Linked DNA regions of Anolis sagrei. The protein of the gene in region 4 binds, or shares a complex with, the protein of the main gene of each other region. Links are inferred from orthologs where the notes say so. Each region holds a gene or a part of one and is shown on either strand. Other genes may lie near its edges.

The links. Proteins that work in one complex are often made in the same cells at the same time.
Region 1: the proteins of EIF4E2 (region 4) and TARS1 are in contact, whole or in part, in a crystal structure (PDB 5XLN), measured with the Homo sapiens proteins. The link is inferred for Anolis sagrei from reciprocal best matches to the Homo sapiens genes EIF4E2 and TARS1. Residues at the interface, in NP_004837.1 of Homo sapiens: His54, Pro55, Leu56, Gln57, Val91, Glu92, Phe94, Trp95, Arg96, Glu149, Asn150, Leu153, Leu156, Gly157, Glu158, Gln159, Met161, Val203; in NP_001245366.1 of Homo sapiens: Pro51, Glu52, Tyr53, Ile54, Tyr55, Thr56, Arg57, Met60, Tyr61, Ile63, Leu64, Glu67.
Region 2: the proteins of EIF4E2 (region 4) and GIGYF1 are in contact, whole or in part, in a crystal structure (PDB 5NVK), measured with the Homo sapiens proteins. The link is inferred for Anolis sagrei from reciprocal best matches to the Homo sapiens genes EIF4E2 and GIGYF1. Residues at the interface, in NP_004837.1 of Homo sapiens: His54, Pro55, Leu56, Gln57, Tyr64, Lys83, Gln84, Ile85, Gly86, Val91, Glu92, Trp95, Arg96, Phe97, Tyr98, Ser99, His100, Met101, Val102, Arg103, Leu107, Phe113, Ile137, Arg138, Leu139, Arg140, Gly142, Leu143, Ser145, Arg146; in NP_001362694.1 of Homo sapiens: Leu36, Ala37, Asp38, Tyr39, Arg40, Tyr41, Gly42, Arg43, Met46, Leu47, Leu49, Tyr50, Glu53, Asn54, Lys55, Val56, Pro57, Glu59, Leu60, Glu64, Phe65, Ala67, Val68, Leu69, Gln70, Asp71, Glu72, Pro73, Leu74, Gln75.
Region 3: the proteins of EIF4E2 (region 4) and EIF4EBP1 are in contact, whole or in part, in a crystal structure (PDB 5NVN), measured with the Homo sapiens proteins. The link is inferred for Anolis sagrei from reciprocal best matches to the Homo sapiens genes EIF4E2 and EIF4EBP1. Residues at the interface, in NP_004837.1 of Homo sapiens: Glu53, His54, Pro55, Leu56, Gln57, Tyr58, Tyr64, Arg66, Lys83, Gln84, Ile85, Gly86, Val91, Glu92, Gln93, Trp95, Arg96, Phe97, Ser99, His100, Met101, Val102, Leu107, Phe113, Glu149, Asn150, Leu153, Gly157, Glu158, Gln159; in NP_004086.1 of Homo sapiens: Arg51, Ile52, Ile53, Tyr54, Asp55, Arg56, Phe58, Leu59, Met60, Cys62, Arg63, Ser65, Val67, Thr68, Lys69, Thr70, Pro71, Pro72, Asp74, Leu75, Pro76, Ile78, Pro79, Gly80, Val81, Thr82, Ser83.

What each region holds. Positions count from the first base shown.
Region 1 is NC_090022.1:280,718,792-280,725,872, reverse strand, and holds the start of TARS1 (threonine--tRNA ligase 1, cytoplasmic), read left to right. Parts: upstream 1-4,075; 5' UTR 4,076-4,210; coding exon 4,211-4,228; intron 4,229-4,441; coding exon 4,442-4,522; intron 4,523-7,081. UniProt on the Homo sapiens protein: Catalyzes the attachment of threonine to tRNA(Thr) in a two-step reaction: threonine is first activated by ATP to form Thr-AMP and then transferred to the acceptor end of tRNA(Thr).
Region 2 is NC_090026.1:2,531,672-2,538,895, forward strand, and holds the start of GIGYF1 (GRB10-interacting GYF protein 1), read left to right. Parts: upstream 1-4,218; 5' UTR 4,219-4,386; intron 4,387-4,589; exon of another isoform or gene 4,590-4,676; intron 4,677-7,224. UniProt on the Homo sapiens protein: May act cooperatively with GRB10 to regulate tyrosine kinase receptor signaling. May increase IGF1 receptor phosphorylation under IGF1 stimulation as well as phosphorylation of IRS1 and SHC1.
Region 3 is NC_090027.1:10,773,177-10,780,532, forward strand, and holds the start of EIF4EBP1 (eukaryotic translation initiation factor 4E-binding protein 1), read right to left. Parts: upstream 3,007-7,356; 5' UTR 2,950-3,006; coding exon 2,808-2,949; intron 1-2,807. UniProt on the Homo sapiens protein: Repressor of translation initiation that regulates EIF4E activity by preventing its assembly into the eIF4F complex: hypophosphorylated form competes with EIF4G1/EIF4G3 and strongly binds to EIF4E, leading to repress translation.
Region 4 is NC_090023.1:265,347,301-265,355,065, reverse strand, and holds the start of EIF4E2 (eukaryotic translation initiation factor 4E type 2), read right to left. Parts: upstream 3,014-7,765; 5' UTR 2,991-3,013; coding exon 2,905-2,990; intron 812-2,904; coding exon 697-811; intron 1-696. UniProt on the Homo sapiens protein: Recognizes and binds the 7-methylguanosine-containing mRNA cap during an early step in the initiation. Acts as a repressor of translation initiation.

The sequences.
Region 1 (7,081 bases), on a different chromosome or scaffold from region 4:
GGCAAGCATCCTCAGAGGTAGTGAGGTCTGTTGGAACTAGGAAAAAGGGTTTATATATCTGTGGAATGACCAGGGTGAGACAAAGGACTTTTGTCTGCTGGAGCTAGGTGTGAATGTTTCAACTGATCACCTTGATTAGCATATAATGGCCTGATAGTGCATGGAGCCAACTTTTGTTGAGAGGTGATTAGATGTCCTTGTTTGTTTCCTCTCTGTTGTTGTGCTGTTGCAATTTTAGAGTTTTTTTTAATACTGGTAGCCAGATTTTGTTCATTTTCATGGTTTCCTCCTTTCTGTTGCAATTGTCCACATGCTTGTGTATTTCAATGGCTTCTCTGTGTAGTCTGACATGGTGGTTATGACAGTGGTCCAGCATTTCTGTGTTCTCAGTGTGGACTCAGTTCTGTGTGGACTCAGATAACCCAGTTCAAAGCAGATAAATATAAATATAAATAAATAAATATAAGACTCTCGCAGTAAAATTAGGACAGTTGAGGACCATGCTGCTGATGGTCCAGAGTGCTAATTTTTATTGACTCCTCTTCTATGGCCTAATTTCCTGAGTGTTCAGTGCAACAGGATGTAAAACAAAACCATACAACTCACAACAGACCTAAGGTCATTAACAACTTTGTTCTGAAATATATAACATTGCTACCACCTACTGGTTGATTTTCTTTTTAACTATGAACCCATTTGTGCGAAGGCTGTTCTGAACACTTTCCCACCCACCGCATAGGCCTGACTGTGGCTCCATACGATTTCTGTCTCCAAACTCAAAACCCACCTCAAACGATATCATTTTGGGATAGCTGGAAACGTCCAGGTAGCTGCAACAAAGGCTTTCAACAACATCTCAACTGAAGACTTCCTCCACTGTGATAAAGAGGGGCAGCAAGGCTGGGAACTCTGTATTTGATCACAAGGAGCCTATTTCGAACTGCAATTGCATGTTGTTCAATAAAAAACAAAATCGTCGAAGGCTTTCATGGCCGGAATCACTGGTTTGTTGTAGGTTTTTTCGGGCTATATAGTCATGCTCTAGAGGCATTCTCTCCTGACATTTCGCCTGCATCTATGGCAAGCATCCTCAGAGCATCCTCACTACCTCAGAGGATCCTTGCCATAGATGCAGGTGAAACCTCAGGAGAGAATGCCTCTGGAGCTTGGCCATATAGCCCAAAAAAACCTACAACAACCCAAAAACAAAATCATTCTCATTACTTTTGGGACAAACCACGTATAAGGTATATTCCCAGGAAACAAAAACCATGACAAATATGCCCCATATCATACTAGAAAGCATTTCAGGGCAAAATATAAATAGAAAGAAATCCTTCAGATTTTTTTTCAAAATTTCTGGAGGATTTTGTATCATAGGCCTTGCACCCTTTTGTGAGCTGCCCCTGTTGAGTCCCAGCAGGGTGATTTTGCAAATATAAGCGGCTGCAGGGCAGGCAACATTAACCTGACCTGACCACGCTTTGTCGTTTAACCTTGCTTTTTATCTCTTGTTTGTTCAAGGCAGTTGGCAATGAGAATCATTTGTACCTATTTCTCTTGTGTATTCTGTTACCATTTCCAGGGTAACTTTGCTGTTCCCTTTTCTCTGAATGCCTAACATCTCTCTCTCTCTCTCTCTCTCTCTCTCTCTCTCTCTCTATATATATATATATATAAATGTAATGTTAGTTTGTGGGATTAACATAACTCAAAAACCACTGGACGAATTGACATCAAATTTGGACACAAGACACCTGTCACGCCAACGAGTGACCATCGCACATAAAAAACAACAGTGAAAGGGACTTAAAAAGCCAAAAAATGCAAAAAGGCACTACAGCGCATGTGCAAAAACGACTCCCCCTGGCAAACAAAAAACACAATAGCATATCCACACTCTCTTCCAGACTACAGCTCCCAGCATCCCCTAGACCAGGACCTTTAGGAGAGGAGGGGGATCCAAATACACTGCTTCCAAGCTGCAAGCTTTCTTCTCCTTGGATTTATTTGAGAGCATCCGAATTCCTGCACATTTCCAAATTTCTATTCAACTCCCAGCAATCCTCCAGATAGATAGAGATCAGTAGGTAGGTAAATAGACAGGTGGATCAGGAGGACTGCGGGGTGTTGCAGTCCAAGAACAGGTAGAGATGGGAGAAAGGGGAGAAAGAGGAAGGGAAAAAAGGTGGGGGTGGAAGGGAAGAAAAAGAGAAGGAAGGAAGGAAAGGGAGGGAGGGAAGGAGGGAAAGAAGAGAAAGAGGGAGGGAAGGTTGGCCACAGCAACGCGTGGCAGGTATAGCTAGTGTATTTCTAAATGGTCACATGAAGTTTAAATATTGCTGCAATGCTAGAAATATGTGGACTAAAGGAAATTTTCTATGGGGAGAATCAAAATTCTTCTTCTGAGCTGCAATGTCTTCCTTTGTGTCTTCCCCTCTCCTTTCACAGCTACTGGGCAAATATCCAAGTGCATTATGTAGGATTTCTCAACCTGGGTTTCTTTTTTCTTTTTAGCCTGATAATGTATGACAGGTTTGTAGCCATGTGCCAACAATGTATTTTAAAAACTAAATGTACATAGCAATTAAAATAATTAATATCTGATTTTACACTGTATTTTCCATTTCCTGCATGGCATGGATTAACCAATAGCTCCTTAATAACAATGCTTAATTATAGGGGGTTAAATACCCTCAAGGCATAGGATCCTCTCTGATTTTGGAAGCTAAGCAGGGTCAGCCTGATCAAGATCTGGATGGGAGACAGCCAATGAATAATACCACACACTGTAAGCTGCATTTCAGTGGACGAGCTTACTCTAAATATTCCATGCTTCAGAAAACCTATGAAAAATTCAACAGGCGATATGTTGAGTGAGTGGGCTTATCAACAAAATACACACATACACGCACATGCATACATATATGCAATAGAATATAACGATAGAATATATATATATATATTCTATATATATAATCTATATATATTGCTGTGCTTTCTGGAGATATATGTATGTATGTATTCATTGAAGATTTCCCCTGACCCACTTCCTGTGGGCTGAGAGCAATGAAACTTGGCACAGTTATTAGTACTTCTCTACATAGGTGCCACCTAGGGACACACACTTTCCCCATCTTTTTAAGCAACTGCTAAAACCTATCTTGTAGAATTTGACAGGTTGCTCCAAAAGCTATGTTGTGACTTCGGAAGTCAGAGTCTCATCATCTGAAAAATGCTTGCTCTTCAAAAATAACTTCATTGTTGGAAAGTAGTGGAAGTCCGATGTTGCGATGTGAGGTGAATTCTATTGTCAAGAATTCAATGACTGCCCATTGCTTAAGTCGCATTGACTGACCGTCTGCGCAAGGTTCCATACTTCACACTTTGACAACACAACCGTTCAATGCTAAGGCTTCCCGCCAAGATGGAACTGTAGAGGAGAGTCTACTGAACAAGCCAGTACCTGCCGCATACCAGTACTGCCATCTGTTGAGGAGTTACGAAGATGGAGGCATTACTTTTCATTCAACCCTTGTATGTATGTGTATATATATATATATGTGTGTGTGTGTGTGTGTATAATACATTATATTATATATACCTTAGAATAAATATAATTATATATAAATAATTATATAATTATATAAAATATATTATTATAATTAATATATATATAATACATTATATTATATATTATAATATATATAATTATATAAAATATATAATAATTATAATTAATTAATATATAATACATTATACATATATATGTATATATACACATATAATATATTTTTCTGTCTACCATTTATCTATCTCTCTATCTAACATAGATAGATACATAGAGAGATAATATATCTAGCTCTTTATTAGTTAAGGCGCAGCTACAATATTTTGAGAAGGGTTTTGCAACCTATCTCCAGCTGGGACTGACATGAAAGTGTCTCCCTTTCAGGGAAAGCCCCTTCCACGCATGCGCGCCTGATACACGTCCTGGGGAAGAGCGTACTGGACTCCAACTCCCATGAGCCTAAGCGATGACGCCACACGCCCCGCCCCCTCGCAGTGACGCAGAGCGAGCCACGCGAACCCCTGGTTGCATCAGCTGCCGCGCCTGCGCAGTGCACTCATCCCAGCCGGGCGGCGTGTTCCGGGTTCTGCTTCTGGTGCTGTCATTGCCGGCGTGGTCTGGAGGGTCCAGGCGGGGAGGATGGAGGCGGAGGCACAGGTAAAGGGGAGGAGGCTACCTCCAGACTCGTAGGGTGCATCTAGAGCTGACTTGGGCCAACTTGGGCCCTCCAGGTGTTTTGGACTCCAACTCCCACAATTCCTAACAGCCTACCGGCTGTTAGGAATTGTGGGAGTTGGAGTCCAAAACACCTGGAGGGCCCAAGTTGGCCCAAGTCTGCTGTACACAAATCTCAGTTGTTTTTCTTTATAGGTTGCAGTTGCTGGGGAGAAAAAGAAAGAACCAGGAAAGAAGAAATGCAAGGAGGAAACTGGCAATGGGGGCTGCGCAGAGGTAAGTAGCCAGGCATAGGGAAGATTCTGCATTTTACACCCTGATCTTGATCCTGTTTACCAGGCAATACATTGCCTTGATTTTCCCTGCAAGTAAAAATTGTTGTGTTTTCTGGAGATATATATATGTGTGTGTGTGTGTGTGTATATATATATATGGAATATCTGTCTCTCTACATACATATACATGCTAATAATAATAATAATAATAATAATAATAATAATAACACTTTATTTATACCCCAAATAAAAGTTTTTTGATACTAAAACATCAAAAAAATCATCCAGGCGTCCCCTGGGCAACATCCTTGCAGATGGCCAATTTTCTCACACCAGAAGCGACTTGCAGTTTCTCAGGTCACTTCTGACACAACCAAAAAAAATGTATACCTCGCTACAATGTCCAATCTCGATAAAATAGTAAAGAGTAGAGACATCACACTGGCAACAAAGATCCGCATAGTCAAAGCCATGGTATTCCCTGTAGTAACCTACGGATGTGAGAGGTGGACCTTAGGGAAGGCTGAGCGAAGGAAGATCGATGCTTTTCATAGAATCATAGAATCAAAGAGTTGGAAGAGACCTCATGGCCCATCCAGTCCAACCCCCTGCCAAGAAGCAGGAATATTGCATTCAATATTGCTTTTGAACTGTAGTGTTGGAGGAAAGTTCTGAGAGTGCCTTGGACTGCGAGAAGATCCAACCAGTCCATCCTCCAGGAAATAAAGTCCGACTGCTCATTGGAGGGAAGGATACTAGAGACAAAGTTGAAGTACTTTGGCCACATCATGAGGAGACAGCAAAGCCTAGAGAAGACAATTATGCTGGGGAAAGTGGAAGGTAAAAGGAAGAGGGGGCGACCAAGGGCAAGATGGATGGATGGCATCCTTGAAGTGACTGGACTGACCTTGAAGGAGCTGGGGGTGGTGACGGCCGACAGGGAGCTCTGGCGTGGGCTGGTCCATGAGGTCACGAAGAATCAGAGACGACTGAACGAATGAACAACAACAAACCATCTCCCCAGAGGACTCGGTGTGGCTTACATTACGCCGAGCCCAGAATACAACAATACAAGCAATGACAACAACAATACAAGCAATTTAACAACAATAATACAAACATATATATATATATATATATATATATATATATATATACACACACACACACACACACACACACACACACTGTTTTCTGGAGCCATAGATATGTATGTGTTATATATAATAGATTTCTATCCATCATATATATACATACATATACATAACATACATACACATGCATATATATATTTCCCCCAGGGTTGAGAAAGGCAATATATAAATACTGTAAATAAAAAATAAAATAAAATAAAATAATATAATCCATATAAATAAAAATGTAATGCTCGTTTGTGGGAGTAACATAACTCTAAAACCACTGAATGAACTGACACCAAATTTGGACACAAGACACTTAACAAGCCAATGTATGTCCTTCACTCAAAAAAATTCATTTTGTCATTTGGGAGTTGTAGTTGCTGGGATTTATAGTTCACCTGAAATCAAAGAGCATTCTGAACCCTACCAATGATGGAATTGAACCAAACTTGGCACACAGTTCTCTCATGACCAACAGAAAATACTGGAAGGGTTTGGTGGGCAGTGTCCTTTGGTTTTGGAGTTGTAGTTCACCTACATCCAAAGATGACTGTGGACTCAAACAAGGATGGATCTGGACCAACTCTACATGAATACTCAATATGTCCAGATGTGAACACTGGGGGAGTTTGGGGGAAATAGAATCTTGAGATTTGGGAGTTGAAGTTGCTGGGATTTATAGTTCACCTACAATCACAGAACATTCTGAACCCCACCAAGATAGAATTGGGCGTAATCTCCCACACAGAAACCCCATGACCACCAGAGTGGGCCACAGCAACGTGTGGCAGGGGACAGCTAGTCTATATAAATAAAAATGTAATGTTCGTTTGTGGGATTAACATAACTCAAAAACTACTGGATAAATTGGCACCAGATTTGGACACAATATACCTATCAGTCCAATGAGTGACCATCACTCACAAAAATACCTAACAACACAGCAGATAAGACTTTAAAAAGCTAAAAAATGAAAATTACATTACAACGCACGCACAAAACTACACATGTACACAAATATACACACACACATATATACACACAAAACACACACACACAGACTGGGCCACAGCAACACATGGCAGGGAACAGCTAGGTATAAATAAAAATGTAATGTTCATTTGTGGGATTAACATAAAAAATTACTGGACGAATTGACACCAAATTTGGACAAAATACATGTATCAGGTCAGCAAGTGACCATCATTCATAAAAACACTGAAAAACACACCAGAAGAGACTTAAAAGCTAAAAAATATATAATTATAATGCATTAACAAAATCACACATACACATATATTCAAATATACATATATACACAAATATTTATTTATTTATTTACGGTGTGTGTGTGTGTGTGTGTATGTGTATGTGTGTGTATATATATATATATATATTACTGTGGTTTCTGGAGATATATG
Region 2 (7,224 bases), on a different chromosome or scaffold from region 4:
GATAGGCTGTTAGGAATTGTGGGAGTTGAAGTCCAAAACACCTGGAAGGAAGGCTGAAGTTGGCCCACACCTGTACTTGAATGTTTCCTCTAGGAAACACCATCCCTGGCTCCAAGGTCCAATGCTTCTCATTGCCATCTCCTTATGTAGTGGTTATTAAAATAGTGCCATAGGTAGGTTGTTGTTGTTGTTCATTCGTTCAGTCGTTTCCGACTCTTCGTGACCTCATGGACCAGCCCATGCCAGAGCTCCCTGTCGGCCGTCACCACCCCCAGCTCCTTCAAGGTCAGTCCAGTCACTTCAAGGATGTCATCCATCCATCTTGCCCTTGGTCGGCCCCTCTTCCTTTAGCCTTCCACTTTCCCCAGCATCATTGTCTTCTCTAGGCTTTGCTGTCTCCTCATGATGTGCCCAAAGGACATCAACTTTGTCTCTAGTCTCCTTCCTTCCAGTGAGCAGCCGGGCTTTATTTCCTGGAGGATGGACTGGTTGGATCTTCTCGCAGTCCAAGGCACTCTCAGAACCTAGGTACAAATCCCAAATTTCAGGCCTTCTACTTCTAGTTGTAGTAAACGTTAATTTGGGTTGCCCTGACTTTTCTGGGCTGTATGGCCATGTTCCAGTAGCATTATCTCCTGATGTTCCACCTGCATTTTTGACAAGCATCCTCAGAAGTTTGTTCAGAGCTCTGTTGGAAGGGAGGCAAGTGGAGTGTATATACTATACCTGTGGAATAATGTCCAGGGTAAATCTGAGATAATATTGGAGTAAACCTGTGGTAACATTGAAGTAAATCTAAGGTAATACTGGAGTAAACAGGAGGTAATATGGGAGTAAGCCTGAGGTAATACTGAAGTACATCTGAGGTAATGTGGGGGTAAATTTGAGGTAATGTATGGAGTAAATATGAGGCAATATTGCAGTTATCCTGAGGTAATATGGGAGTAAACGGGAGGTAATATGGGAGTAAACCTGAGGTAATACTGAATTTGAGGTAATGTGGGGGTAAATTTGAGGTAATGTATGGAGTAAATATGAGGCAATATTGCAGTAAACCTGAGGTAATATTGGAGTAAACCGGAGGTAATATGGGAGTAACCTGAGGTAATACTGAAGTAAATCTGAGGTAATGTGGGGGTAAATTTGAGGTAATGTATGGAGTAAATATGAGGCAATATTGCAGTAAACCTGAGGTAATATTGGAGTAACCCGGAGCTAATATGGGAGTAAACCTGAGGTAATACTGAAGTAAATCTGAGGTAATGTGGGGGTAAATTTGAGATAATGTATGGAGTAAATATGAGGCAATACTGCAGTAAACCTGAGGTAATATTGGAGTAAACAGGAGCTAATATGGGAGTAAATCTGAGGTAATACTGAAGTAAATCTGAGGTAATGTGGGGGTAAATTTGAGGTAAAGTATGGAGTAAATATGAGGCAATATTGCAGTAAACCTGAGGTAATATTGGAGTAAACTGGAGCTAATATGGGAGTAAACCTGAGGTAATACCGAAGTAAATCTGAGGTAATATGGGGGTAAATTTGAGGTAAAGTATGGAGTAAATATGAGGCAATATTGCAGTAAATCTGAGGAAATATTGGAGTAAACAGGAGCTAATATGGGAGTAAACCTGAGGTAATACTGAAGTAAATCTGAGGTAATGTGGGGGTAAATTTGAGGTAATGTATGGATTAAATATGAGGCAATATTGTAGTAAACTTGAGGTAATATTGGAGTAAACTGGAGCTAATATGGGAGTAAACCTGAGGTAATGCTGAAGTAAATTTGAGATAATGCTCGGTGAGAGTATGATAGCTGGGTCTGGAAGCGCCAAGCGTTACGCCCATTCCGCAACAGTGGTTCTGAATAAGGGAAGGGGAGAATGGGACACTGAGGGCGGGAATATACTTCGTAGTTGCATTTGGTGAAAGGATAGAAAGGTTTAGTAAGGTTAGGGTTAGGGGTGAGACTTAGGGTTAGGGTATGGTTAGGGTTAGAATTTGGATTAGGATTACGGTTTGGATTAGGATTAAGGTTAAGGTTTAAGTTTATGGTTATGATTAGTTAGGGTAAGGTTTAGGGTTGGAATTAGGGTTTGGGTTAGGATTAGGGTTAAGGTTTAGGGTAAGGTTTACGATTAGGGTAAGGTTTAGGGTTTGGTTTAGGATTACAGTTAGGGTTAGGGTAAGGTTTAGGGTTTGGTTTAGGATTACAGTTAGGTTCAGGGTTAGGGTTTGGCTTGGGGTAAGGTTTTAGGTTTGGGTTAGAATCAGGGTTAGGATTACGGTTAGGATTAGGGTTAAGGGTTAGTCTTAGGCGTAGGGTAAGGTTTAGGGCTTGGGTTAGAATTAGGGTTAGATTTCAGGTTTGGGTTAGAATTAGAGTTAGGATTAGGGTTTGGGTTAGGGTAAGGTTTAGGGTTGGATTAGGATTAGGGTTAGGGTAGGGTTTATGGTTAGGGTAAGGTTTGGGGTTTGGGTTAGAATTAGGGTTTGGTTTAGGATTACAGTTAGGTTAGAATTAGGATTAGGGTTAAGAGTTAGGAATAGGGTTAAGGGATAGGGTTCAGGTTAAGGGATTAGGGTTAGGGTTTTATCATTAAAGAACTCTGACATTCCTTCTGCAATGCCTGTGTTCCTTTCTGTGTTGTGCAAACAGGGCTCCCAAAGTAGCGAAGTGGAAAGAGCGTAAGGCTCAGAGCTGCTTCCGGACCCACCTCTCATGCCTAATGCTCGAGTAAATATGAGGTATTGTCGAAGAGTTTCATGGCTGGAATCACTGGGTTGTGATTAGGGTGAAACATTCACACCTAGCTCCAGCAGACAAGAGTCCTTTGTCCCACCCTGGTCTTTCCACAGATATATAAACCCATTTTCCTGGTTCCAGTTGCTTCTCTAATCACCTCTCAACAAAAGATTTCCCCAGGCACTGCCAGGCCATCAAATGCTAATCAAGGTGGTCAGTTGAAACATTCCCACCTAGCTCCAGCAGACAAGAGTCCTTTGTCCCACCCTGGTCATTCCACAGATATATAAACCCATTTTTCCTACTTCCAACAGACCTCACTACCTCTGAGGATGCTTGCCATAGATGCAGGCGAAACGTCAGGAGAGAATGCCTCTGGAACATGGCCTGACATCCTGAAAAACCTACAACAACTCAAATATGAGGTAATATTGAAGTAAACCCGAAGTAATATTGAAGCGAACCTGAGGTAATATTGGAGTAAAGCTGAGGTAATTTTTGGATGAAGGAAAACAGGTAATTAATGGAGTAAACGTGCTGCAACTTTGAGAGGAACTATGGTCTATTATTCCGATGCAATCCGACCTTTAGTACAAATATTTCGTGCCCACGTCCCCTTTTGCTGACGTCATTTTGCGACTCGATGGCGGAGAGGTGGTGATGACGTCACGGGCTAGGCCCAGGCGGGGATCACGTGACGAGGGCGAGGGCCGACCAATCCCCTTCGGCATTTCTCTCCGGGAGCGCGCCTCTAGCGGCGAGAGCGCGCCAAAGCAGGCAGGCAAGGTCACGTGGACACCGCTCCTCCGATCTCGTACAAATGCCCTTGCGCCGCTTTGCGCACGCGCGGATGAGAGCGGCGAGACGATTATACCAAGTACAAACCGTTCTGGGCATGCGTACATTTAAACTCCCTTAACCTAGTTCGCGCATGCGTGCAAGAAAACCCCTTAGAGCGGCTTTTCCTAGTTTGCGCATGCGTGCAGGAAAACACCTGAGAGGCTTTTCCTAGTTTGCGCATGCGTGCAAGAAAAACCCCTTAGACCTTTCCTAGTTTGCGCATGCGTGCAAGAAAAACCTCAGAGAGGCTTTTCCTAGGTTGCGCATGCGTGCAAGAAAACACCTGAGAGGCTTTTCTTAGTTTGCGCATGCGTGCAAGAAAACCCCTTAGAGAGGCTTTTCCTAGTTTGCGCATGCGTGCAAGAAAACCCCTTAGAGAGGCTTTTCCTAGTTTGCGCATGCGTGCAAGAAAACCCCTGAGAGAGGCTTTTCCTAGGTTGCGCATGCGTGCAAGAAAACCCCCTTGGAGAGGCTTTTCCTAGGTTGCGCATGCGTACACAGAAAAAGCGAGTTCGAATCTTCTGCGGCTGCGCAGTACCACCCTTTCCATTCTTTCCCCTTCAAGCCCCGCCCCACTCGTCTTGTTCCCCCTGGTCTGCGCATGCGCGCTAGGCTCAGTCGCGTCACGTGACGAGAAGGAGGAGGGCGGCCATTTTGGTTACAAACACAAACAAGCGGCGAGAGGAGGACGGAGCTCCCCGCGAGAGAGAGAGAGAGAAGGAGAGAGAGAGAGAGAGACGCGGATCCGCGCCGAGGCCACGCCTCCTCCTCCTCTTCCCCCCTCCCTCCCCCAGCAAAAGGTAAGCCACGCCCCCTCCCGTTGCCATGGAAGCCCCCCTCCCGCCGTGCCCGCTCCCTCGGGGCCACGCCCACCCGCTCCGTCGCCTAGGAGACCCCTCCCCCCGCCCTCCTCGGCTCCCTCGCCGGCCCCGCCCCCTCGCGTTAGGGCAGGCGGCGCTGCGGCGGCGGAAGTCCCGCCTCCCCACTTCCGCTTCCCGCCCCTCCTTTCTCTGGGTCTGAGGAGACCCCGCTCCTCGCCCCTTCCCTCCTCGCCCGGGGCCAGTGGCCGTGCGGGTGGGCTTCGGCTCTGGTAAGGAGGCCTCGCCAGGCCGCGCGCATGGGCTGGACTCGATAGGCCGGGCTTGGGCCAGCTTCCTCCCTCCAGCTCTTTGGGACTCCAACTCCCACAATTCGGGACAGGCTCAGGCCTTTTCCTCTCCCTCCTCAGCACCCTCAGGCCTTTTTATTTTCCTCCTCAGCAGCCTCAGGCCCTTTCCTTTTCCTCAGCTCTTTTCCTTTTCCTCCTCAGGAGCTTCAGGATTTTTCCTTTTCCCTCTCAGCAGCCTCAATCCTTTTACTTTTCAGCAGCCTCAGGTTCTTTCCTTTTCCTCCTCAGCAGCCTCAGGCCCTTTCCTTTTTTCTTTTTTTTTTACCTCAGCAGCCTCAGGCACTTTCCTTTTCCTCTACAGCAGCCTCAGGCCTTTTGCTTTTCATCAGCAGCCACAAACCCTTTCCATTTTCTCCTCAGCAGCCCCAGGGCCCTGCCTTTTCCTCAGCCTCAGGCCCTTTTAATTTCCTCTTCAGCAGCCTCGGGCCTTTTCCTTCTCAGCAGCCTCAGGCCTTTTCAATTTCCTTCTTAGCAGCCTCAGGTCTTTCCCATTTCCTCCTCAGCAGCCTCATTCCATTTCCTCCTCAGCAGCCTCAGACCTTTTCCATTTCCTCCTCAGCAGCCTCAGGCCCTTTCCTTTCCCCCCTCAGCAGCCTCAAGCCCTTTCCTCTTCCTCCTCAGGAGCCTCAGGCCTTTTCCTCATCCCATTTCCTTTCCCCCCTCAGCAACCTCAGGCCTTTTCCTTCTCAGCAGCCTCAGGTCCTTTCCTTTTTCTCCTCAGGAGCCTCGGGACTTTTCCTTTGCCTTCTCGGCAGCCTCGGGCCCTTCCCTTTTCCTCAGCCTCAGCCTCTTTCCTTTTCCCTCTCAGCAGCCTCAGGCCCTTTCCTTTTCCTCTACAGCAGCCTAAGGCCTTTTACTTTTCATCAGCAGCCACAGGCCCTTTCCATTTCCTCCTCAGCAGTCTCAGGGCCCTGCCTTTTCCTCAACCTCAGGCCTTTTCCTCAGCCTCAGTCTCTTTCCTTTTCCTCCTCAGCAGCCTCATATCTTTTACTTTTCCTCCTCAGTAGCCTCACGGCCTTTCCTTTTCCTCCTCAGGAACCTCAGGCCTTTTACTTTTCAGCAGACTCAGGCCCTTTCCATTTTTTACCTCAACAGCCTCAGGTCCTTTCCTTTTCCCTCTCAGCAGCCTTGGGCCTTTTACTTTTCATCAGCAGCCACAGGCCCTTTCCATTTCCTCCTCAGGGCCCTGCCTTTTCCTCAGCCTCAGGCCATTTCCTTTTCCTCCTCAGCAGCCTCAGGCCTTTTCCTTTTGCGCAGCCTCGGGCCCTTTCCCCCCTCAGCAGCCTCAGGCCCTTTCCTTTTCCTCCTCAGCCTCATTCCACATTACAAGGCCTGAGTTGGAAGAGACTCTAAGCCAGGCCTGGGCAAACTTGCACCCTCCAGGTGTTTTGGACTTCCATAAGTGGCTGAGTGGGAAAAGGATGGGGCCTGAGGCTGTTAGGAATTGTGGGAGTTGGGAGTCCAAAAGACCTGGAGGGAGAAACTTTGCCCGAGCTGCTCTGTGGTCTGATTCCACCTCCACATTCGGAAGAACCTCCTGGCAGTTGAAGTTCTGCAGAATCTCTTTCTCTGGAGGGTTTTAAGCATAGGCTGCATGGCCATCTGTCGGGAGGGCTCGGGCGGTGTAGGGATCTCTCCCAGTTCTCGGATCCTGCCCTTCTTGCTTACACCCATTGCAATTCCCTGGACAGCTGGCCCCAGTTAAGATCCAAGAATCTTGTTCTCAAGCACTTTACAATGTTTATCCAAATCCTTGATGATAAATCGCTCTTATCCTCATTGCTGCTATATGATATTTGCACTTTACCCATTAGTTCTATCATTAGCTCTTTCCTTTAATGTTGTGGCACCATCCATGACAAGACATTGAACTTTGCTTTTGGTTGTTTGGTTTTGATGTTTGTTTTATATACCGCTTAATGTTGTTGTTGTTTTGTTGACATGCATTTTAATGTGTTATGTTTTAACTGTTTTGTTGGGCTTGGCCCCATGTAAGTTCCCCCTAGTCCATTTGGGGAGATTGAGGCAGGGTATAAAAATAAAGTTATTATTATGGCACAGTGAGAGTGCTTGTCGAAATACATTTTAATAATATATATAATATAATAAAATAACTTTATATCCCGTCCTATGTCCCTGAAGGGACTCAGGGCCTTTATGTACCTGTACTGTTTCTGCAATGTTGATGTGTTTTCATTTATTTTGAATCCCGCCTTGAGACATGAGGAGAGGTGGGTAATAAATAAAATAATAATAATAATTAGTAGTAGTGTTACTACGTTCCACCGGTGTCCCTTGTTCTGGGTGCATCTACACCAGACTTGCACAGTCTTTGGTCCTCCAGGTGTTTGGACCTCCAATAATAATAATAATAATAATATATCTGTAGCCCGCCCTATCTCCCCAAGGGGACTCAGGCGGCTTCCAGCATAATAAAGGCAAATATTCAATGTTGGTATAAAACAGAAGT
Region 3 (7,356 bases), on a different chromosome or scaffold from region 4:
ATAGATGCAGGCGAAATGTCAGCAGAGAATGCTTCTGAGGATGCCTGCCATAGATGCAGGCGAGACGTCAGGAGAGAATGCTTCTGAGGATGCCTGCCATAGATGCAGGCGAAACGTCAGGAGAGAATGCTTCTGGAATATGGCCTTACAGCCCAGTAAACACAACAACCCAGTGATTCCAGACATGAAAGCCTTCAACAATACATCTAGCTATGGTTATTAAAGTGATGTAAAACTGCATTAATTCTACAGCGGAGATGTGGACCCCAAGGCAACCTATGAATCATTCTGTAATTAAGACGTCATTCAGCACTCTGCACGTGGTCAGAGGCACTCAGGTATGTTGCAATGGCTCTCAATCAGGTCCAACTAATCACCTCCCAACAAAGGATTCCCCCGGCAGGAAGCATCCAGGCTTTGAAGCTGCAAGGCCATTCAATGCTAACCAAACCGGTCAACTGCAACAAACAGACAAGAGTTCTTTTTCCCACCCTGGACATTCCACAGAAACCCCACTTGTCTAGCTTCCAATGGACCTCACAACTGGGTTTTTGTAGGTTTTTCGGGCTATATGGCCATGTTCTAGAAGCATTCTCTCCTGACATTTCACCCACATCTACAGTAGGCATCCTCAGAGGTAGTGATGCAGGTGAAACATCAGGAGAGAATGCTTCTAGAACTTGGCCATATAGCCCGAAAAACCTACAACAACCCAGTGAATCAAGCCATTAAAGCCTTCGACAAGACCTCACAACCTTTGAGGATGTCTGCCATAGACGTGGGCGAAACGTCAGGAGAGAATGCTGCTGGAACATGGCCATACAGCCTGAGAAAGTCACAGTGACCTAGTGATTCCGGCATTTGACAAGACATAGGACAAGTTTGCACGCAAGGCTGATAACTATCAGTCCAATGAAATAAACTGTGACGGTTTCCCATCCCTTGCTAAGTCTTATGCAATCGACAACTTTTACTCTGGAATTGCATCAGATCTTCCACTTAAATATGCTTAGGGTTGAGAAACTGCAAGTCGCTTCTGGTGTGAGAGAATTGCCCGTCTGCAAGGACGTTGCCCAGGGGATGCCCGGATGTTTTGATGTTTTACCATCTTTGTGGGAGGCTTCTCTCATGTCCCCACACGGGGAGCTGGAGCTGACAGACGGAGCTTGTCTGCGCTCTCCGCAGATTCGAACCTCTGACCTGTCAGTCTTCAGTCCTGTTGGCACAAGGATTTAACTCATTGCGCCAATAAATGAATGCTGGTGCGTCCTTCACAAACTGCAAATCCCAGGACTTCATCGCCTTGAGTAATTAAAGTGGGATGGAATTGAATTAATTCTGCAGCGTAGTTGCACCCATGGCCTGTTCTCCAGTGGGATAAATAAGCATTAACATTGCATTCCGTGCTGCGCTCCATTGGGGTGCAAGCGGTGACATTCTTTCCGCCTGTGTCCATCCCACCCATGTGCCTGCCAACTGGAAAATAACACAGCGGGCATCTGATGCAGGCTCTGGTCCATGAGCGCTGATCCAGCATTGAACCTGCCAGGCTGGGAAGGGCCCTCTCTGCAAAACACTCCCCAGGCAGGAGAGGAGAGAAACACAGAAGAACCAGGTCTGCACTCACCATGGAATGCGGTTCAAGGCTGGCTTCAAGCAACAGTGCTTGTGGGCTGAATGCTCTGAAGCACTCAGCCCACAAGTAGAAACATTAAGACACCACCCTGCACTTTGCACATGCTCAGAGGCACTCAGCTCACAAATTTTAACATTATGACACCACTCTGCACATGCTCAGAGGCACTCAGCCCACAAGCACTCTGCACATACTCAGAGGCACTCAGCTCTCAAGCATCAACATTAAGATGCCACCCAGCACTCTGCACACTCTCAGAGGCACTCAGCACCCAAGCATCAACATTAAGACATCAGCCATCACTCTGCACATGCTCAGAGGCGCTCAGCCCACAAGCATCAACATTAAGACACCACTCTGCACATGCTCAGAGGCACTCGGCCCATAAGTATCAACATTAAGACGCCACGCTGCGCTCTGCACATGCTCAGAGGCACTCAGCCCACGAGTATCAACATTAAGACAAAACTCTGCACATGCTCAGAGGCACTCAGCCCACAAGCATCAACATTAAGACACCACCCAGCACTCTGCACATGCTCAGAGGCACTGAGCCCACAAGTATTAACATTAAGACGCCACACTGCGCTCTGCACATGCTCAGAGGCACTCAGCGCACAAGTATCAACGTTAAGACACCACCCAGCACTCTACACATACTCAGCCTACGAGTATCAACATTAAGATGCCACTCTGCACATGCTCAGAGGCACTCAGCCCACAAGGATAAACATTAAAACGCCACCTTGCACTCTGCACATGCTCAGAGGCACTCAGCTCTCAAGCATCAACATTAAGATGTCTGCCAGAGCTCTGAACATGCTCAGAGGCACTCAGCACACGAGTATCAACATTAAGATGCCACTCTGCACTCTGCACACACTCAGAGGCACTCGGCACTCAAGCATCAACCTTAAGATGCTGAGTGTCAACATTAATAATGTTGACACTCAGCTCTCAAACGTCAACATTAAGACTCCACTCTGCACACACTGAGAGGCACTCAGCCCACAAGCACCAGCCAGCACTCTGCCCATGCTCAGAGACACTCAGACTGCAATTCTAAAACAGAGCTAAGTATTCCCGTGTCTTAAAGTCACATCCAAGGGCTAAGGAAGCAACTGCAGGGATGTCAACACGAGAAAGGCAGCGTCCAGGTGTCGCGGCTCACCTCCGGGCGTGGTGCCGAAGAGGGTCCCCCCGGGGGTGGTGCTGTAGTCTCCAGGGGGCAGGGTCACTCCTTCGGGCAAGTGGAGCCTCTTGGCCGGGATCAAGGCCGGCGGAGAGCGGAAATAGGTGGCTGCGGAGCTCATGGCGGACTGACTGCCTGCGTGTGTCTTCTCCGGCGGGGAAACTCCACTGGCGGGCGCGCTCTCTTCCCGGGACGCCCCCCGTCGAAGCCCCGCCCCCCGTCTGCCAGGACACGCCCCTCCGCTCTCACAGCCCCGCCTCCGTTTTAGCCCTGAATGTTTTTTTCTGGACTTCAATTCCCAGGATTCCCTTCCATTGTCCCAGTCAGCGGAGACTTCTGGGAGTTGAAGTCCCAAAGTCAAAAAGTGGCTTTGCTCTATTCCTTTGCCACCATATTAACTTCTATGGAAATGTACAGTTTTGTGGGATACTAAGGCTCCTTCTACACTAACATATAAAATCCGGATTCTCTGTTTAGAACTGGATTATATGATAGTATAGAATCATAGAATCATAGAATCAAAGAGTTGAAAGAGACCTCATTCATGGGCCATCCAGTCCAACCCCATTCTGCCAAGAAGCAGGAGTATTGCATTCAAATCACCCCTGACAGATGGCCATCCAGCCCCTGTTTAAAAGCTTCCAAAGAAGGAGCCTCTGTATAGACAGAGGCCTCTTCTGCAACGCCATATAAAATCCAGATTATCTGCTTTGAAGCGGATTATATGTAGACTCAGCCTCCTTCTACACCACCATATACAATCCAGATTATCTGCTTTGAACTGGATTATATGACAGTGTAGACAGAGCCTCTTTCTACACCGCCATACAAAATTCAGATTATCTGCTTTGAGCTGGATTATATGGAAGTGTAGACTGAGGCCCCTTTTACATCAACATATAAAATCCGGATTATCTGATTTGAACTGGATTATATGGCAGTGTAGACTGAGGTCCCTTTTACATCAACATATAAAATCCGGATTATCTGATTTGAACTGGATTATATAGCAGTACAGGCAGAGGCCTCTTCTGCAATGCCATATAAAATCCGGATTATCTGCTTTGAACTGGATTATATGACATTGTAGAATGAGCCCCCTTCTACACCGTCATACAAAATCCAGATTATCTACTTTGAGCTGGATTATATGGAAGTGTAGACTGAGGCCCCCTTTACACCAACATATAAAATCCGGATTATCTAATTTGAACTGGATTATATGGCAGTGTAGACTGAGGCCCCTTTTACGCCACCATATAAAATCCATACTATCTACTTTGAACTGGATTATATGACAATGTAGACTGAGGCCCTTTTTACACCAACATATAAAATCCGGATTATCGGATTTGAACTGGACTATATGGCAGTGTAGACTGAGGCCCTTTTTACACCAGCACATAAAATCCGTATTATCCGATTTGAACTGCATTATATGGCAGTGTAGACTGAGGCCCCTTTTACACCAACATATAAAATCCAGATTATCGGATTTGAACTGGATTAAATGACTGTGTAGACTGAGCTCCCTTCTACACTGGCATGCAAAATCCAGATTATCTGATTTGAACTGGGTTATATGACAGTGTAGAGTGGGCCTCCTTCTACGCCGTCATATAAAATCCAGATTATCTGCTTTGAACTGGATTATATGACAGTATACACTGAGCCCCCTTCTACACCGCCATATAAAATCCAGATTATCTGCTTTGAACTGGATTATATGACAGTATACACTGAGCCCCCTTCTACACCGCCATATAAAATCCAGATTATCTGCTTTGAACTGGATTATATGACAGTGTAGACTCATATAATCCAGTTCAAAGCAGATAATGTGGATTGTCTGCTTTGATAGTCTGGATTATATGGCAGTGTAGAAAGGACCTAAAAGAGCTGTCAGAATGGAAGACCCATCTCTTCTGGCAGAAGAGTCAATTTATCATGAGTTTTGATTTACCCTCTACTACTATTATATGTCAATTCTGTATCTGTGTTTTGTGCAAGTGTTTTATATTTTTGTGTTTTTATCTGTGTAATTCATTGTATACTTATTTTATGTTCATGTTTTTGACTTTGTTGTACCCTGCCTCGAACTATAATAAGGGGTGGGTAATAAATAAAAGGTATTTTTACTATTTGACACACAACAAGATTGGCACATGGCAAACAAGATCACTATGTTGGCTTTTGTATTGGATCACATTTTGGACACTTTCCAAGTGTCTAGGACTATGTGATGTAGCGGCCAATAATGCATACAGATCAGAGAAAGGTGGCCTTCTGCAGCTGGCAGATGGTAATTTTGTCAGAACCGATTGTGTTTAAGTGCAGGCCAAGGTCTTTAGGCACTGCACCCAGTGTGCCGATCACCACTGGGACCACCTTGACTGGTTTGTGCCAGAGTCTTTGCAGTTCTATCTTTAAATCCTCATATCGTGTCAGCTTTTCCAGTTGTTTCTCTGCAATCCTGCTTTCGCCTGAGATTGCAACATCTATGATCTATACTTTGTTTTTTTCCATGAACGTGAGGTCAGGAGTGTTGAGCTCCAAAACTATGTCTGTCTGAATTCAGAAGTCTCAGAGTAACTTGACGTGTTCATTTTCCATAACTTTTTGCGGCTGTGATCCCACCAGACCTTTGTGGCAGGCAGATGGTGTTTGTGGCACAAGTTCCAATGAATCATCTGAACAAAGGTGTTGTACCTCTGTGTGACGGTGTGAGTGGCACCACCTATATGTAGAACTGTAAGTTGCAGGATTTGAACTGTTGTATCAAGCCCGATTTTGCCTTTTTACCCTGTAAATGTATAGTTGGATTGTGTTGTTGTAGGTTTTTATGGGCTATATGGCTATGGTCTAGAGCAGTGGTTCACAACCTTCCTAATGTTGCGATCCCTTATTACAGTTCCTCATGTTGTGGTGACCCCCAACCATCAAATTATTTTCGTTGCTACTTCATAATTGTAATTTTGCTATTGTTATGAATCGTAATGTAAATATCTGATCTCCAGGATGTATTTTCATTCACTGGACTAAACTTGGCACAAATACCCGATACGCCCAAATTAGACTACTGGCGGGGTTGGAGGGGTTGATTTTGTCATTTGGGAGTTGTAGTTGCAGGGATTTATAGTTAACCTACAATCAAATAGCATTCTGAACTCCACCAATGATGGAATTGAACCAAACTTGGCACACAGAACTCCCATGACCAACGGAAAATACTGGAAGGATTTGGTGGGCATTGACCTTGAGTTTTGGATTTGTAGTTCACTTGCATCCAGAGAGCACTGTGGACTCAAACAATGATGGATCTGGACCTAACTTTGCATGAATATTCAATATGCCCAAATGTAAACACTAGTGGAGTTTGGGGGAAAATAGACCTTGACATATGGGATTTATTGTTCATCTACAATCAAAGTGCATTCTGGACCCCACCAACAATAGAATTAGTCCAAACTTCTCACACAGAACTCCCATGACCAACAGAAAATACTGTTTTCTGATGGTCTTTGGTGACCCCTCTGACACCCCCTTGCGACCACCCTGGGGGTCCTGACCCCTAGGTTGAGAAACACTGGTCTAGAGGCATTATCTCCTGATGTTTCACCTGCATCTATGGCAAGCATCCTCAGAGGTAGTGAGGTCTGTTGGAACTAGGAAAACTGGGCGGATCTTCATCTTTATTCTCATGGCTACCCAGAGGAAAAGTGTTCTTGCCATACATTAAGGGAAAACACAACCTATAAACTATCTACAGACCCACCAAGAAAATCCAACAACTGCTTCGTTCAGCAAAGTACAAGAGGGATCCCCTCACCTCTGCAGGAGTCTACCGTGTACCATGCAGCTGTGGACAAGTCTACATAGGGACCACCAAATGCAGTGTTGCCCAAACACGAATCAAGGAACATGAAAGGCACTGCAGACTACTTCAACCAGAGAAATCAGCCATAGCAGAGCACCTGAGGAACCAACCTGGACACAGCGTATTATTTGAGAACACAGAAATGCTGGACCACTCTCACAACCACCATATCAGACCACACAGAGAAGCCATTGAAATACACAAGCATGTGAACAATTTCAACAGAAAGGAGGAGACCATGAAAATGAACAAAATCTGGCTACCAGTATTAAAAAAACTCAAAAATTACAACAGCACAACAACAGAGAGGGAAACTAACAAGGACATCTAATCACCTCTCAACAAAAGTTTGCTCTAGGCAATGTCAGGCCATTATATGCTAATCAAGGTGGTCAGTTGAAACATTCACACCTAGCTCCAGCAGACAAGAGTCCTTTGTCTCACCCTGGTCATTCCACAGATATATAGTTCCAACAGACCTCACTACCTCTGAGGATGCTTACCATAGATGCAGGCGAAACGTCAGGAGAGAATGCCTCTAGACCATGGTCATATAGCCCGAAAAAACATACAACAACCCAGTTATTCTGGCCATGAAAGCCTTCTACAATATATAGTTGGATTGATTGGTTATTTATAGCTGTCAATCAA
Region 4 (7,765 bases):
GCTGGATACGGCCCTCCAAGGTCATTTACCCAGTCCTCGCTTAGGGTCAACCTAAGTCTGAAATGACTTGAAAGCACACAAGAACAATCCTATCTCATCATCCAAAAACAGGCCCCCACTTCCCATTGAAATACTAATAAGTTTATATTTGTTTAAAAAAATCTTCATTTTAATTATTGTATTCTTTTTAAGTGTCTTTTGCACTACAAATAAGATATGTGCAGTGTGCATAGGAATTCATTCATATTTTTTTTCAAACTATAATCCGGCCCTCCAACAGTTTGAGGGACTATGACCTAGTTCTCTATTTACAAAGTTTGAGGACCCCTGTTCTAGAGGCATTCTCTCCTGATGTTTCGCCTGCATCTATGGCAAGCATCCTCTGAGGTAGTGTGAATGAACTCCTTGTATTGGGAATTGGACTTTAGAAAATAAATCTCCACATCAACAACTCAATCCTTCTAGTGAACTGTAGAAATGGTGTATTACCTGCATTACAGATTCTGCTTTCAAAATCAACACACTGGAAAAGTTTGCACTGTTTTCTTTCACAAGGAGATAAATGGAATAGAGGCCTGATGGGCTTTAATATGACTTATTCACAGGTATCCTCTTGGTTCTGGAGCAACAGGTTAAAACCCCCCTGTCACAATCCTCCACTAGACACTTCAGTCTAGGGAAGAGGCAAGGACATACCTTCCTCTTGATGCTACTTTGGGATTTGTCTCTATCGTTTTTTTCCTTCTCACCATCTTTCTGTGTGCTGTTCTCTTCATTCTGGTCATGATCTCCACTGTCATCATCCTTCAAACTAGCAAAGAAAGGAAGGAAGGAATCAGTTTGAAAGCATGAAGGAGCAACTATGTTTAGCATAGAACAAAATCTAAAGGACAGACTGTGGTTATTATTAGACCAGACTGATGGATTCAGGCTACTGAGACAGAGCAGAGATTTTTAAAAGAAGCAGAAATTGCACTTTGGATGCTGAACAAGTGTCCTGTTACTTGTCCTTTTCTGTTCAGTCGGGTAGTTCTGAAAATTTGGTCCTCCACATGTTTTGGACTTCAGCTTCTATAATTTCTAAGAATTGGCAAAACTAGTTAGGGACCAAATTCCAAAATAGCTCATGGATTACAATTTCAGACCACTGATTCAATGTGATAAAAGAACTTTTCTGCATTACCATCCTAAGAATTTGTGGGTTTTACATGCAGGGAAAACATGGACAAATTCAGCTTCAGAGTCGTGGAAAATGGGAACACACAGAATGAACTGAACAGATGCATGTGTTTACACCAATTTCAAGTGCAGTTTTTAATGCAAGTTGAGGATCCATTATTTGAAATGCATGGGACCAGGAAATCCACATTTTGGGTATTTTTGGTTTTTAATCATTGCAAATGCATAATGTGAAATCTTGGAGGTAGGACTGAAGTCCAAATGTGAAATTCATTCATGTTTCATATGCACTTTACACACATAGACTGAAGGTAATTTTATACAAAATATTTTTAATAATTTTGTGTATGAAACAAAGTTTGTGTACACTGAACTGAACCACCAGAAAGCAGCAGTGTAACTATCCCAGCCACTCATGTTGAGCATTTTGGAGTATTTTGGAATCTCAGATAAGAGATGCTCAACCTTTAGTACTTAGTTACCTATCCCTACTGTATGACATTGTGTAGATAAGGTAAATGGTAAGGTAAGGGAAAAGCCATTGCACTCAACTTCACTAGATGTTAAACTAAATAGATTGGATCTGAAAGTGCTTCATTATTGGATGGCTGCAGATGTGGCTAACAGAAAAATGTGCACATTTCAAATGTGTGTAAAAATACAGCACAACCAGACACAGTCAAAGGGGGAAATCTATGCACACAAAATCAGACTTTAATAAATCACCCAAAAGAGACAATTTCATCTTGTAATATTCCCTAATGTGGACATAGGAAGAAGTCAGGAGATATTTATTTATTTATTATTTAGGACATTTATAGCCCACCCTTCTCACCCCAAAGGGGACTCAGGGCAGCTTACATAATTGGCATTATTCCATGCCCAAACAGCAATATCAATTAAAAGCAATTAATCAACCATTTAAAACAACATTATAACAACATATGTAAATATTACATGACTATTGTGCATAGATCCAAAGCCAGAGAGTCAAATAATCATATTCATCAATCCAGGGCCAATTCCTGCTGTAATGCCCAGCACCAACGGCCACTCTGGGGCCAGAATAAACAAGGGGAGCCAGGAGGACATTGCCATCTTGTCCCCTGTGACATCAGCGCCCCTCCCCCAGCAATAATGTAATATTATGTAGTACTAGTGTTATGAATGATGTAATAGTACTATGGTAGTTATGTATTATGTAGTATGTTGTATGTATTTATGACTTGTAAGCCGCTCTTCTGGGGTTATTATTTATTTATTTATTTATTTATTGTATTTTTACCCTGCTCTATCTCAACCCCGAAGGGGACTCAAAGCGGCTTCCAAATTGGCAATAATTCAGTGCTACATTACAACATACAAAATACATTGTGCATTAAATCATAAAAGAGCAACAAATAAATATATTTAAATAAGCAGTTGAGATATAGCACATAACCCCTGAAATCATAGTCCAAAAGCCATTCCAATCACAAGTTTTGATTTATATTTACAAACAAGTATTTCCAAACTTGGGTCCTCCAGGTGTTTGGGACTCCAACTCCCACAATTCCTAACAGCCTACCGGCTATTAGGAATTGTGGGAGTTGGAGTCCCAAACACCTGGAGGGCAGGCCCAAACTCGACCAGGCCTGTAGGAATGCCATTGAAAACTGTCTGCTCCTTCCTTTGATTTAGGATGTTGCCTTGAGGCCTAAAAGCGCCACTGAGGCCCGGACTCACGCGTCGAATTTGTTGTTCATCCTCTTCGGTCGTTCGCCAGCCGCTGCTTTGCTTCTTGCCCCGGACTTCCGCTCCTCTGCCTCCATACGCTCCCTTCACTTCCGCCCAGGCGGAACCAATCTTTTTCCGGTTGCTGTTTCCACCCGGACCCGGGACTACAATCCAGGCCACACTACTTCCTGTGGGCCGCTCTTTATGCCGCGAGTTGTCTATGGTTGTAAAATTAGCCGCGTTCGAAAGACTCGAAAGACCGCTCCCCGACAGGCAGAGATAGAACATATAGAGTGGTATCTCTGTACTTCTAGATGTGATATTTCCGGGTTCACTTTGGAACATTGTTTCTTATATATATCGACTTGTAAACTTAGGACAACATTTCTCATAAACATATAGAATCATAGAATCAAAGAGTTGGAAGAGACCTCATGGGCCATCTAGTCCAACCATTCTGCCCAGAAGCAGGAATATTGCATTCAAATCACCCCTGACAGATGGCCATCGAGCCCCTGTTTAAACATATCTCAACTTGTAAACTAATAAGATTATTGATTATTGACCTAGATCTCAACTTATAAACTCAGGACATCATTCCTTATAAAATAAAATAAATCTAAATAAAATAAAATAAAAATAAATCTAAATTATTATTATTATTATTATTAAATAATAATAATTATAGTTTATAATATTATATTATAATAAGTATACTATTATTATAAAATAATAATTTAGATAATAAATCTAAATAAATAAAATAAAAATAAATCTAAATTATTATTATTATTATTAAATAAATAATAATTATAATTTACAATATTATTATATAATATTATAATAATTATATTATTATTATTATAAAATAATAATTTAGATAATAAATCTAAATAAATAAAATAAAAATAAATCTAAATTATTATTATTATTATTATTATTAAATAAATAATTATTATTGTGATGGCACACCAGGAACATCTAATAAGAAACCTAAATGTGTCTGGCTATTTTCCCAGTGACCATCGATATGCCCTAATTACTATTATTCCCCCAAAATAAAACTCTATAAACAAGAATAAGTTTAACAATTGTTTACTAAATAATCAAGGTGAATTACAACAATGTACAAAGGTGAAGATTAATTATGATGGTATAACTCTGAGGTAAATATAACTATACACTATGGGGAATGATGTAACTATCTATCTATGAACTATCTATTATAAACTTTAGGGCAAATACTATCTATTCTATCTATCTATAAGGCATTTACAAACTATCTATCTATAAACTCTAAGGCAAATACGGCTATAACTATTCTATGTATATGTACTATCTAATCTATCTATAAGGCAAATCTAACTATTCTATCTATGACTATCTATCTATAAGCTTTGGCAAATACGTGATTAGGATGGCCTGTTCAAATTGCTAGGCCAGACCAGACACTATCTGGCAACTATCTATAAGCTAAGACTAACAAAGAAAGGGAAACAAAGTTCTATAACCAGCCCATTCTGGCTCTGAGTCAGAATGGGCTGCACACCAACCGAGCTCGGCCTCTAGGGGGAACCTAAGCTCTCCCCTAAACTTGGTAAAATGGAACAGTCCAACTGAGAAATAAACAGGCCAAGACATCACACTCCCCGCTCAAATTTGGAACAAATTTGCATATACAAACTATAACAAATCACTTTATACAATTAAATACAACAAACTTTAAACTTTTAATAAAACCACCAAGTCTGTGATAAGTCTTTGGTGAGTATCAGTCTTTCAGTTGGAGTCCGTCTTGATTGGAGTCTTCCTGATATGGTCATCCACACTCGGACACTCTTCTTGGGTGACACCCATAAGCCAATAGTTCCAGGAAGCACTTTGGTCCTTTAAAGCAATGTCTCATACCTTGATGTCCTCGTTGGAGTGCTGTCAAACCTTTCTTCTCTGGAGTTGACTCAGGAAGCTCTGGAAAGGTGTTGTCCTTTGAAGAACCTGGGTCTGCGAGGCATTCGGAACCCGACAGCCAGCTGGAATGCAGCAACCTCCGAGCAGACGCCCCTCGGGAAATGATATCTGCAGGTCTCTCCTCAGCGGCAACATGAATCCACCGACTTGGCTCAGCACAGGAAATGCTCTTGTTGCTATCTGGCCTATTGCTGGTATCAGGCACAGTGTTCGGCTCCAAAGGAATGGAATCCTGACAAGCTGACTCTTTAAGCAATGCCTTCTTGTGGGATGGCAATGCTGCAGGGAACACTGCCTCTGTCGCCTCAAGCTGCTCAGAATCACAATGGAATGCATGAGCACTGGACCCCAGAAAATCTGGGTTGCAGCCACTGGAACATGGAGCCTCTTTCTCAACAGTTTTGGCAAGCAGCACCTGCTGTGAGTGTGGAAGGCTAGGTGGAGTGCCAGATGTATCACTGGAGTCAAAGGCTGATCTCACTTTGTCAGGCTTATTGTCTTTAAAAGGAAGGGGAGCTATCCAGCTTCCCTCTTCCGACTGCACTCCTTCTTTGCTTGGAATGTCCAGAAGTCTTTGCTCTTCTTTGGAGAAGCTCAAATCATCACCCTTATCTTTTAAGTCTCTCTTGGGGCTTTTGAAGAAGGAGGGGTTCCAGGCCACAGATGGCATGGAAAACATTTGATTTCGTGCAGAAAACACTGCCTTTTCCCTTTCTGCACCTTCGCCCTGACCCAAAGGAGACACACCTGAGGCTATGGTTTGATTGGCGAAGGAATTCTGGACACAAGGTGCATTGTCCAAAAACTCCACTTTAACTTCTTTCTCAGGTTTGGGGTCAGGGAGGGACCAGGTGGCAGGAACAGGGGAACAGGTGGAGAGCATAAAGGACTGGCTCCCCGCTGTAGACTTCTGCACTTTGACAGGACCCTCATCTTCATGAAAGACTGATGCTGATGGCTGATGGTTATGCTGAGGTGCAGATCTTTCCCCCTCCGCATTAGGCAGATCCTCTATTGTGTTGGTATAGATAGGGCTTAGCTCTTTGGTGGTGACATCTTTGTCAGACAGGAGAAGAAATGACATCTTTGATTCGATGTCCTCCTGAGGCAGCAGCTTAACATTTTCAGGAATCAACTCGTCCTGAAAAGCTTTGGCAAGAATTTTTGCCTTAACTGCAAGCTTGACCGCTTCTTTAGCCTTTTCAGTTATATTTCTTTTGCTTTGTAAAGCTGATAACTGGGCTTCCATTTCAGCTTGCTGAATGGCCTGTCTAGCTTCTAGTTGAGAGAAGTCTAGCTCTTTCACAGCCATAGCCGATTCAGCTTCTGCCTGCAATATTTGCGCCTTGAGCTTCATCCTCTCAACTTCTTTGAAATGTTGAGCTGCCACAGAAGAAATCTTACTGCAGGAAGATGAGGCACTTTTGCTGGAATGTGAATGGTGGCTAAGTGATCTGACACTTAGGGGACGCTGAGGGTAGAAACCCTTGCTGGACTTGGGGCTTCTAGGAGGGGATAAAGAGTAAGCCTCCCTCAGCTGAAATTCCTGAAGCCGAAACTGTGCAGCTTCAAGCACGGCATTAAATTCTCTTTCTTTACTTTGATAGTCCAATGACAATGCTTGCAGTCTTGCTTGGGCATCATCATCATTGATGTTTGTAAGGACTTGTTGTTGCCTTTCTATAATAGTTTTCCAGAGTAAAAAAACTATCCTGGAGCTCTTCTTTATGCACTGCTATTACCTCAGGGTCTCTGGAAGCTGACAAGGTGTTCATGCTATACTGCACGTGTTTCCAAGCACTTTCTGCCTTCACAATTAAACGACTTTCCCTTTCTAGCAACAGCTGTAGGGCCTTCTCTGTGGGGTGCCTAACCCTATGTGAACGGGAAATGTGTACATGTCTGTCTGCACTTCCATCAGAAAGCCCATCCATTCTTGTTGTTTGCTGGTTGCCGAGGCAACAACTCTATATGGGTGAAGAGGACTGAGTGTGAGGCAAAATGTTCACACAGCCTGCTGTCACCACCTATACTATAACAGCAAAACAACAATTTACTGGAATAGGTTTAAGAGTATTGTAACTCCTTTTCCTCAGAAAAATGCGAAAACAGGCCCCAAAACACCTTTTCCCGCTCTTTCTAAACTATAAGCACAAATCCCATAGAAATCTATATAGGCAAAATGGCTGCCGCTTCTTTTTGAGGGGACAATAAGGCTGTCACAGTTCTGATGTTATTATAGTAGCCTTAAAGGATGAACACAAAATGGCTGCCAAACTGTAAAAAACCCCTTTTGGCGCCAAATGCCCCCTTAAGACAAATAGCAGATGCTAGCCTTGCCCCTTTCACTCTCTGACAGGAAACAAGCCTCCAATATCTTTTAAAAGGGCAGGCAGGCAGCTTTTTTACTTTAAAAGCTGCCCCTAACTCTCCTTACTATAAAATTATTCAATTTAGCAACACTTCACCCAAGTATTCCCACAACGTTGCTACACCTTCCAATGGAAAAGTGGAAACAGTGCCTTTTTCTCTCACACACACACTGAGGGAGTGGGCTCTCTCTATAAGCAATCCGAATCGGCTACAAGGCCGATCAGGCACCTAATCACTGTGAAAACAGTGCTTTTTCTTCTCTCACACCCCCTTTGCAGGGAGTGGGCTCTCTCTTATAACTTTCTATAAGCAATCTGAAACGGCTACAAGCCGATCAGGATCCTAATCACTGTGATGGCACACCAGGAACATCTAATAAGAAACCTAAATGTGTCTGGCTATTTTCCCAGTGACCATCGATATGCCCTAATTACTATTATTCCCCCAAAATAAAACTCTATAAACAAGAATAAGTTTAACAATTGTTTACTAAATAATCAAGGTGAATTACAACAATGTACAAAGGTGA